Arabidopsis thaliana: one gene and its partners. The protein of the gene in region 2 interacts with the protein of the main gene of each other region in a pairwise test. Each region holds a gene or a part of one and is shown on either strand. Other genes may lie near its edges. The genes, in order: AT1G16170, AT1G10660 and AT5G59650.

The links.
Region 1: the proteins of AT1G10660 (region 2) and AT1G16170 interact in a protein complementation assay, tested with the Arabidopsis thaliana proteins (one large-scale study listed by BioGRID).
Region 3: the proteins of AT1G10660 (region 2) and AT5G59650 interact in a protein complementation assay, tested with the Arabidopsis thaliana proteins (one large-scale study listed by BioGRID).

What each region holds. Positions count from the first base shown.
Region 1 is NC_003070.9:5,538,362-5,542,119, reverse strand, and holds AT1G16170 (ephrin-A3 protein), read left to right. Parts: upstream 1-2,117; 5' UTR 2,118-2,553; intron 2,554-2,946; 5' UTR 2,947-2,967; coding exon 2,968-3,246; 3' UTR 3,247-3,454; downstream 3,455-3,758. Other genes in the region: AT1G16180 (Serinc-domain containing serine and sphingolipid biosynthesis protein), read right to left, coding at 1-172, 271-445, 525-636, 718-957, 1,032-1,215.
Region 2 is NC_003070.9:3,530,127-3,533,884, forward strand, and holds the start of AT1G10660 (uncharacterized protein), read left to right. Parts: upstream 1-2,102; 5' UTR 2,103-2,541; intron 2,542-2,765; exon of another isoform or gene 2,766-2,791; 5' UTR 2,792-2,882; coding exon 2,883-3,196; intron 3,197-3,281; coding exon 3,282-3,315; intron 3,316-3,396; coding exon 3,397-3,621; intron 3,622-3,723; coding exon 3,724-3,758. Other genes in the region: AT1G10657 (uncharacterized protein), read left to right, coding at 526-603, 696-801, 1,067-1,216, 1,353-1,396.
Region 3 is NC_003076.8:24,029,258-24,033,015, reverse strand, and holds the start of AT5G59650 (Leucine-rich repeat protein kinase family protein), read right to left. Parts: upstream 1,671-3,758; coding exon 1,589-1,670; intron 1,479-1,588; coding exon 941-1,478; intron 833-940; coding exon 377-832; coding exon of another isoform or gene 354-376; intron 295-353; coding exon 100-294; intron 14-99; coding exon 1-13. UniProt on the Arabidopsis thaliana protein: Required for accurate photosynthesis.

The DNA of each region.
Region 1 (3,758 bases), 2.0 Mb from region 2:
CCGAGAGAACAGTTGTGAGTAAGCCAATGGTCATTGTGCCTGTTGAAACAGCTTTAGAGTGATTGTGGAGACCATTGCACTCGTAATCCCGGGGTTCACTTGCAAGTCCACTGTAACAGAGGTACATGCAGTACAGAGATATAACCGATGCTGGTAAAATGCTTCCACCGACCTGCAAAAGAATAGGTTAATTTGACTTCAGTGAGCCTGAAATTGGGAATCAAATAAGATCTCAGATAAGAGAAATATAAGGTTTCAGTCAAAACTTACAGTAGGATGCAAAACTACAATGGCAAAGACGAATACAAATATCAAAGTCATGATAATGAAGAAGGTGTTGAGTCCACAATCATGTCCAGATGGAGTAAACCAGTGGAAGAGAAACCCAGAGAAGACGAATGTTGCCAAGTAACATACAAGAGAAACAACGAGCAAAGCAGCATACCTATATATAAAAGTCAAGTACTTAGATTAGTAGTGGGATAATGAAGTCACATGATTTAATTGCAAATATATTTACTAACCAGAACTGCTCGTCGTAGCCAACCCATGTGTCATTCCATCCATGAACAAAATCCAAAAGAAGTACAACTTGAACAAGCAGGAAAAATCCAGCACCAAACTTTGACATCGACTCTGCAAGATGTAAAATTGATTCCCATTAGTTCCAAGTTAATCGATTCACTAATCACTTTGCAATGATAAACAGAAACTTACCATAGAAACTGATGATTTCATTTGGAAGGAAGAACATAAAGATGACTAAAATGCACCAACAGATTATTTTCATCATCCAACCACCATGGTGTATACCATCACGAGGGTCTTTCTGATTTTTCACACCGATCATCATAACCGATAGAATAGAGAAAAACAAGAAATTCCCTAAGCTGACACGCAACACAGCATCAGTCTCAAACCATTCACGATCAGGTGTCTTGTGAAAATGGTTAATCCCTGCACACAATGTCAATGATTAGTTGCATACACCAAAATAATCTCACGAGAAGTATAATAACAAAAAAACTTACAAGGGAGCTTCTCCATGAGAGGAGCAGCAACTTCACGGAGAATCCATGAAACGATTAAGGAAAGTGCAAAGAGACCACAGTAAGCAATTCTAGCAGAACGTCTGCTGATCCCAGAAACCACAGTACGGCAAGCATCGCAGGCACAAGCAGCACAACACGATGCGAGACAAGAAGCTGCAAACATCTTCTTTCTCCTCTCAGATTAAAGGTTGGATTCAATATTCAGCTGCTAGTATCAACCAAAACGCAAACACAAATCATCAAAACACAAATCATCAAACAAACAAAAAAAACTAATTTCGGATGGAGACGGTAAGAAAAGCAGCTTTTTAAAGACCGAATCGAAAATTAATCAATTTTGCTCAGAGATAAACAGAATTATTTGGAATCAATTGAAATTGGTTAAAATAAGCTGAAATTTATCCCCAAATTCGAGATGAAATCATAGCTCCCGATCTAAAGCTTCACCCGAGAAACCTAGCTTTAGGGATTGAATTTGACCTCTGGAACAAAAGAAGGAAAACGAAAATCGCTTGAGAAAGAGAGAATCAAAATACCTTGCGATCGATCAAAAACCTTGAGCTATCCTCTCCTTGAAAAGTAAAACAACTCGTTGTTTCTTTATTATCTCGCTCCTGATTTCGGACTTTTGACCAACTTACAAAGGAACTAGTAAACCATCAATACCAAGTTTTCATGTTTGGCCCACTAATGGCCCAAATTATTTTAATTTCTCCTTCTGTTTATCATGCATGGGCTTTTGATTAAGATAGACCTCTACTAAAACCTTGCAAGTCTCCTTACAAAGAAAAAGAAAAAAGTTATAAAAAAAAAACTCTAGGCTATTGGGGGTAAATAGTTTTGGTTTGGATGCTAAATGCTAACCGGCTAAAGTGATTCACGGCAACGGCAACTCAGTCTATTAGGATTTCAGTGCAACTAAAACAATGTATTTTAGACTTTTAGTTTAGTTGGAAGCAAACCAAAATATTGAACACCTCATACTGTCATACAAATACAATATACAAAAGTACTAAACATTATCGTGATTACTAGAACATGAGTTGTCTTCTCGTTAATGATTAAAAAAGTTTATCTTAATACGTATTCGTAAATGCCCTCTGGAAGCTGCAAGAGTCAGATCATAGTCCTAGGTAAATGTCATCACTCATCATCGGATTCTAACAACATGCCCATCATCTTCAAAACACAAAGGAGTGGAAGCTAACAAACAACGCATCATCATTTTTTTGTCCTCTTTATATATCTTCTTTCCTATTTTTTATCTTTTTATTGTTTTGTATATAAAATCCCTAAATTCCCGTTTTATGTAACGGACATAATAAGCCGCGTACGGCGTATCCGGCAAATCGGCCCAGCTCGAGCCATCATCAATCTACGGAGGAGATCCATCTCTCTCTCTCTCTCCATATCGCAACAACACTGCTGAAGATTTCGGGGGTTGTCGACGGAGCTGGAATCTAGCTTTTTCTTCTCCAGATCTCTAAACCGATTCTCACCGGTTCGTTTTCTAATAATCTTTCACCTACTTCGGATCTGTTTCCCTCGATTATCCAATGTGCATCGATCGCGAGTTGTTGTTGTTGTGTATTGTGATTGATGATTGATTGAGAATGACGTTATTGTTGGCAATTTGTTGCTTTCATTTTCATCTTTCGTATACGATCCAAGCTCTTTTGTAATTATAATTATGACTAATGTCGTTTCCACAACCAATCAAAACAGCGATATGTGTCTCGAATTCTTGTTTCTCATTGACATTTATGATGGTTTATGATGGAAAAGTGATCTCCCAAATGTTACATTCAATCTGATTGTGATGATCTCCTTTTCATAGCATGTTTATGTTTCTTGTAAAATTGTGTTAAAACGACTTGTGTGTCAATTTTTGCAGGTTAATTGGTATTATAAAGCCATGGTTCTTGATGGGCTTGTATCTTCACCGTCAAGGAGACAACAATGTCTAAAGAAGCAGTGGGACGAGTTGGGTAGCTGGTCGACTCTTATTCAGAGGCATCAATATCTCTTAACAGCTTTGGCTCTTTTGGCTTTCCTCTGTACTGTTTATCTTTACTTTGCAGTCACTTTAGGCGCTAGGCACTCGTCCTGCTATGGCTTGACCGGGAAAGACAAGGCAATGTGTCAATTACAACTTGTTCAAGCTCTCTCCAAAGGGAAACTTAAATTCTTCTAGACTGTTTATCTATCGGTGAAAGTTTGAAACCCCCACATTTATTGTTCTTGTACTAAAACATTCTTTTTCTTCTTTATTCTATAATGCAATTTGTGTGTATTATTACATGGTGAAATAAAACCAGAGATTCATAATTGAAAGATAACTTTATTTCATCAGATGAGATGAGAGTATACATGTGCACTGTTTTGAGTCGGATCGTCACCTCCGGTTGTATGTCAAGCCTCTATTAGGCGCTCTTATTAGAGCTCATGCGTTTCTGTATATTTGGGAATTCTTACCAGCGGAATGATGATAGCAGCGGGATATAACTTCTACTACCTACACAGGTCGAGACTCTGAAACTGAAACCATAATGCTTGAAGTCAAACATTTTCTGACACATCGTTGACTCCTAGACAAGTAAGTTTTTCCAGTCATCAAATAATACATTCAAGTCACACCAAAAGTCCACACTTCATTTTCAAAAGTACATGTTAACTTCGAATTTCAAATACACTTTGTGGCTAAAG
Region 2 (3,758 bases):
GTATTTTGTCCGGTAATTACTAATTACTCTTTGTAATCTCATTTAACTTGCCCGTTTAAATAAACAGACAAAATTAAAGAACCCTAATTAAAGTTTGGCAGAACCTATGTCCCAGAAAGTAAGAAAAAAACAAAGTAAACTGAGAAGTCATAGTCAAAAGACAAGTTAGTTCCAACCAAAATAAAATAAAATGTGATATCAAGTTGAAAAAGTGACGGATAGAGAATCTATCCTTTGGATCCTCTCCTCTATTTTTAGCCCTTCACTTGGATCTCTCTTGGATAACTCATTAAATGACACTATCCAATATAACCACATGTGTATCTGCGTATGTATATGCATGTGTATTTATATTTAGAAGCTTCCTAGTTTTGTCTAAGAAAATATCTTCTTGTTTTGTTCCTTTCAGCGCTATAACTCATAATTCTCTTCCAAAGTTCTTGGATTTGTTCCCCAAATCAACTGGAGATCTAAGAAGAAGAAGAAGAAGAGCGAAGATCAAAGGATAAGGAAGAAGAGAGGAAAATGTGTACTCATGCTGATGAATCACAACACAACAATCTCCCTTGTCTCCATTGCCAACCACATTCTTACATTCGCATGGTACATAACTACATATATACACATACTGTATATAGTTTATACGTTTTGTATTTGATGTAACAATCCTCACAACTAGTGGTTGATTTTGTTAGGTTCAACATATGATAGAGAGATGCATTCTACTCCGTATGACGCGGGACGAATGCGTCAAGGCGTTAGACCACCACGCAAGCATTCTACCACTCGTTACACTCACTGGTTAGTCTTTACAACGTTACACATATAACCTCTATATGATTCCTCAAAACTGTTCGAAAGCTTCGTTAACTAAAAGGAATTAATAATGATATTTAGACATATGTTTCGATTTTGCTTCGTACGTCAAATTATATAATTATATGGAACAATTGAAGAAATTGATTATTGTTTTCTTGGATCATGTATGTTCATCATTATATATTCGACATAACTTATATTGTTGAGTTCACAACAGTTTTTCAACGTAACTAGTTAATTTATGCAGTTTTCAGCTATATATTAGGCTTTGCAAGTGTGCTACAAAAAAAATTACATGATATTTTTCCCCCCCCCGCAGTTTGGAGAGGACTTCAAAGAGAAAACAAGGACTTCTTTGAAACGTATGGGCATTTCGTCTCTCCTAGGCCCTTCTTAAGTAAGAGATTGTGGGATCAAATGTCCTCTTCTAATTGTTAACAAATTTCAATTAATTCCTCAGTCAACATATAAACCACACATCAAGTATGTTGTTATATAGTTCATTTTGATGAGAGTTATGTTTTCTTTATCAGGCGGATATGTTCGAAGATCGCCGAGGTTTGCGAAAAGGATATAATGAAGACTTGGTTTAGGCTCGTAGCTAGATATATAGGAGAAAAAGCTTGAACTTTATATATACCTAGGCATATGTATTACATATTCCTATGATGAAATACTCATGCTTATTATCTGTGGTCCTTTTGATGTCATAAGGTTCCCCTATAAGATTAAGCAGATAAGATTGATTTTCGTGTGTAAACTAGTTTTAAGGTTGCTTATTTAGATAATTAGATGCAGTCTGTTTATTGAAAACCCTCGATTATAAGAGGCTTTACGATTTATATATAGCAAATGTGTAAAATATATTTTTTAACTAAACCATGACGAGCGCTTACTAATTTGAGTAAATAGACTGCATCTAAATAAGCAACCTTAAAAATATGACACTAAGACTAAAACCAATCCCGCCGGCATAGAAAACGACCAATCTGGTTCGAATTCTGAATACTAATTTGAATCTAAACTAAAACACTTTATTTCCTTTTACGAAAGAATAAGTGCAACTGACGATCATTCAGTTAGTTGTTTATAATGTATATTTTTAAGTTCCAAACGAGGCTGGCTAGGTGTATAAATGTAAAAAAAAAAAAAAAAAAATGGTGACAAAAGATAGGCAAAGATTTGCATATGAAAAGATGTTGGAAATTTGGTTATTTCCTTTGACAAATTTTTTTTTTGGATATTTTATTTCAAAGATCTACACGATTTCATGAGTAGGAAATAAGAGTTGGATATTTGAGCATATTCCTCCTAAAAACATAATGCAGCAACAAATGTTTTAACAAAGTGACATTAAAGTCCGGTTATCTCCGGTTTAAGAAAAGTGAAAGACGGAATTGATTTGCGCTCACACCTGTTCGGTTCTTTTTTTTTTGTCACACCAACAGAAATACAGAGGTACACACATATCCTAAACCGAACAAAACCGGGGTTGTAAAAATTAATTGCGATTTGTGGCGATTCCGTTTAGATCGGATAAAAAATCTGCACGACAAAATTTTCCATCTTCCTCCTCTTCCTCTGCCAACTTATAATCCCGTCAAAGATCTTTCCTTTTTTCTTCTTCTGGTTTCTTTGTGGTTTCCTGGAGGCTCTCAGCATCTTCGAGTCGTTGCGAGGATGCGTTAGAAGAGAGTCTCCTCTCAATCTTCGAATCTCCAAGTAATCTTTCTGTATTTTAGGATTCACCTCTCTTTTTGTTCTGTTTGCTCGATACAATGAAATTTTGAAAAACTTCGTTAATTTATGAAAATTGAAATGGATTCTATATCGCAAGTTCTTGTTCCAATTATATTTGTCCGTTAGTGCAAAAAGGTCTTACCTTTTTCGCCATCTTACAGTCTTGTGAATAATTCAAATTCTAAAACTTTTTGAGATTCTTACAGAGACATTTTGTCACTCTTTGCAACAGAACAGTGTGAGAATGGGTGACCAATATGTTTCTTAGTGGTGATGTTCTCTTTTGCTTTGTTGGTGGAATCTTAGGACTGTATTGACTGGCCATGGCTGCTGATACCACAGCTTCAAGTTACTGGTTGAATTGGAGGGTCCTCCTCTGTGCATTAATCCTCTTAGCTCCAATAGTATTAGCAGCTGTTCTCATTTGGAAATATGAAGGCAAGAGAAGAAGACAACGCGAGAGCCAGCGAGAATTACCAGGGACATTGTTCCAAGATGAAGCTTGGACCACATGTTTTAAAAGAATCCACCCTCTTTGGTTGCTTGCCTTTAGGGTATTCTCGTTTGTTGCAATGTTGACTTTACTCATTTCCAATGTTGTGCGCGATGGAGCTGGCATATTCTACTTCTATACTCAGTGAGTTTTAATCATTATACTTCCTTCTCACATTTCTGAATCCTTGAAATGAATGAAAAAGATCTAAACTTTTTTTCTGAAACAGGTGGACATTTACTCTTGTCACACTCTACTTTGGGGTACATCTCTTGGAAATTCCGTTGTTGAGGTTACTACCTTAGTTTTAGATACTAAATCTGTGATACTTTTTTTCTTCGTAGTATGCTTCGGTGTTATCTGTTTATGGATGCTGCATCTATAATAAAGAAGCTAGTGGAAACATGGAGAGTTATACAAGTATAGGTGATACGGAACAAGGCACTTATAGACCACCAATCGCTCTTGATGGGGAGGGAAATACGTCAAAAGCTTCCAATAGACCTTCAGAAGCACCCGCCCGAAAAACAGCGGGGTTTTGGGTTTATATCTTTCAGATCCTTTTCCAAGTAAGTGTCTTATTTTCCCCTAAGTTATCTTGTTGAGAGTGAAGACTGTACAATGCCATCTCAAAGCTTCAAAAGGACTTACAAAGTTTTCTGTTGGGATAGACTTGTGCAGGTGCTGTTGTGCTAACAGATATTGT
Region 3 (3,758 bases), on a different chromosome or scaffold from region 2:
CGAAGACAAATTTCTGGTGATTCCAAAGCATGATAGTTAACTTATTTTGAAGATAAGTGTCAAAGTGTGCATGTTCATATCTTGGATCTTACGACTTACAAGGATAATACTCTTGGAGGTTTAGAAACATCTGTGTTGTTGCTACAGTTCAAACCATCCCACGCATACTTTTGAGGGACGCAAGGATCTCCTTGCCACCTGATTCTACTCAATTTATAGGCAGCTTCGATATTTTTAACAGCAACCACTGATGTAGAGCTCAAGGATGTGAGAATTAGCAGGTGAAGTTGATTTCTCTAGTTAAAAAAAAAAAACAGACTGTATCTGCATAACAATGAAGATAAGTAACATACCATCATTTTCATTTGTTTCCGACCGTGGAAATTGGATAACTGTGTAGATTTCAAGAGCGTTAAGTAGAGAAGGAAGAGTTGACCTCGAGGTTTTTATTAGCTGGTAAATGCAATTTTCTCCTTTGCATGTCACTGGAGAAAGATTATGGATAGTAGTCACCCCTAACTTTGGAGGGATGAAACCTTCTTCAACAACAGCTCCATCCCATAATATGTCAAATTCTCTGGTATCATTGGTCTGTAAATCTTGTATCTCAGAGAAGTGGCTGTACAAGTAATATTGGTCACCAGGATTGTCTGGTGGCCAACTGATTGTCAATGGCGCGCTGGCATTAGAAGGCGTGGCAGCCGCTGCAAGAGCCTTTTTTGGTGGTTCATAATTGTTATCATTGGTCACTTCGAGAGTGGTGAAAATTTGGGTCCAATCATCCACCATAAAGTAATTATGCCATCTGCGATCATAAATATCATCCGGGTACCTATGTGGAACAAAGGTTGTATTATCCTTGAATAAGTATAGGAATGTTAAAAATAAAGAGTATAGGAATATAGAATCCATCACTGTTAACCAAAAAAAAAACACTTACCGAAGAAAGCCATCTGTCTTGTTGAGATATATCCGAACGAAAAGATTCAAAGAACCATCTGTGAGATAAGAATTATTTCCTAATGGCCGTAATTCCAAGGCTGAGATCAAGGGTGTAGTTGTCCCTGTCTTAACAAGACAAACGTTCAAAGAGTTTGATGTTGGAGTGTGAAGGATCTCCTCCATTGTACCATTCACAAACTTTTGCAAATCTATAGTTGCCCACAGATTAGGTCCTAGATGCAGTTCAAATATCGGGTTAGAGTTACGACCATCGTAATTCCCATAAATGAACCTAGCCCTGATCAAATATTTCCTGTTCTTGTCAACACTCAAACTATAGCAGTTCCTTCTCTCCTCTGGAAAATACCTCAGCCTCGTGTACGGCTTAAGGTAGTCATTCTCCATACTCGCCTGGATTTTACCACTTTCACCAGTCTGGATGAATTCAGCATCAGACGAGAACCGTAGTCCGGTTACTGACTCAGTATAAGAAGACGGTTCAGTCATGGGTAACCCGCAATCCAAACTGATAAACTCTGTTAAGAGAGTGAAAAATCAAAAGCATCTCAGATACAAACATAACTAAGACTCGAATCAGTAAGAAGTAGTAGTGTAATATACATATAAACCATTAAGATTTAGGTACCTTGTTGATCCTGAGCTTGAACACAACCAATAATGGCAAAAGCTCCTAATAGCAGCAGCAAAAGCCAACAAGGACTATCCATAATTGCTTTTAGATATCAAAACCTTACCAATGCCAGAGTTTGAGAGAAACACAGCGTATAAATAGATAAACCCAAGAAACAGTCCAAGCCTCTGGCAACATGGCAAGATGTCCTGAGTCAGTGAAACGAATGAGTAAATGTGTTTTCTATTGCAACTTTACAATTACAAATTTGATTTGTCCCAAGAATGTCAGAATATATGCAACTTGTATTTAGAAAAAATAATATGCAACTTCTGTGTTTTTAAGAGAATATGTCAATAGAGGGTTTTACAGTCACCACTCTTTTAACGCATTAAAAAATGTTCACACAGAGAGAAAGCAAGAGATTTGACTTTCTAGTGGTCAGTGACTTTGATTGAATCATATCGGATAATTTATCACTAATTAATACACATTTTGACGTCTTCATCGACAAGAACAGCTTCTAATCACAAAGCAGAGGATTCACATTTATCAACAATGACTATTATCTAAAGAGAAGTGGGTCAACATGAAGAAACAAATTTCAAGACAAAGACGCCATTATCAGATATCTAAAATCATAAAGTTCAAATTTTTAAAGGATTTTCAGTTACATCATAAACTGAGAAATTACCTTCCGGCCATGAAACTGAGAGAATTTTGATTCCATCTCTTTGAGCCGGCCCAATAACTTTTGTGAGGAGGAGGACGAATGTGAGGAATCTCCGGAGATAAATCGGCCATATACGGCAGCGAAATCTCCCGTCGTGAGAAGGACGGCGATGACAATGAGACCTCTTCATCGGCGATTAGCACTGTTTGAGAACGCGATTGGCGATTTGGAGTGCTGGAGAGTAGCGTTTTAAACGCAACGGTATGTATATTTTTCAACGTTGCTATAATAACAGAAATAATTGTTATGGGCCAAACATGGGTTTTATCAGCCCATTAAACAGAAAATAATGAATTTGGAGTGCTGGAAACACGGTCGCTGGAGAGTAGCTTTTTTAAACGCAACGGTATGTATATTATTCAAGCTTACTTACAGAGTTTCTAGTTGCGTAAGATTTTGAATCGCAGCAGCCATGGTTCCAGTTAGACCACTTGAAGACAAGTTTCTGGTGACATGTCCAAAACCACATTCAAGTGTCACAACTACTAACGGATATTGAAGAGCGTCTGGTCAGAAATCGATATTCTTACGAAAAAATTACGGTCATTATTTTCGTCAGAAAATTGTGACCATTTTCATACAAAATTGTGACGTATTTATTTGGTCATAAAAACGTTACTATTTCGTTATAATATTATGACTTAATTGAATGTAACTAATGTTTGTCACTAATTATGTCAAATTTGTTACAAATTATATAGTCATAAATATAAGTACGGATTTGCGACCAAATATAGTAACTAAATTATACGATAATTGTGACTGAATTTATGTCATGTATAGTTACGAGAATTTTGTAACAACGATGACACAATTTGTCACTGTTTTAGTGACTTTTGCGTTTGGTCATAGATTGTGACATAAGTGTTACCAATTTTAATACAAAAATAAAAACTTGTGAACAAAAAATTAAATAAAAAAACTTCTTCAGTTTTGGAAACAATGTTTTTGATAATACAAAAAAAGCTGTAAAAAGTCCAAATGAAAAAAAAAATTATTCGGATTCGTCACTAGTTAATTCGATATCAGAATTTCCATCTTCAGCATCTGATCCATCTTCGGCTTCTACTACTGGATCATCAAGATCTTCTGGTTGGGCATCTAGATATGATAGTGTCTCGATTTGTAATGAATCAACTTCAACAATAGAATCATCGTTATCATGCTGCATTGCAGTGAAATCCAGATTTTTGTTATCAATACTTTCCCTCTCGGTTGTATCATAATTGCTGCTTCCCATTGTTGATCTTTTCTCGGCTGAGTCATCCGTGGATATGGAACATAACATACCTGATCTGCTTGTGAAGCCAAAACAAAAGGATCATACTCTTCATAATGCCTTTTAGCATTAATATCAATAATCCCTGACTTGTTTCTTCGTATACCTCTCCCAACTTTTGAATCATACCAATCACACTTGAAGACCACGACCTTGAGATCAACATGTCCAGG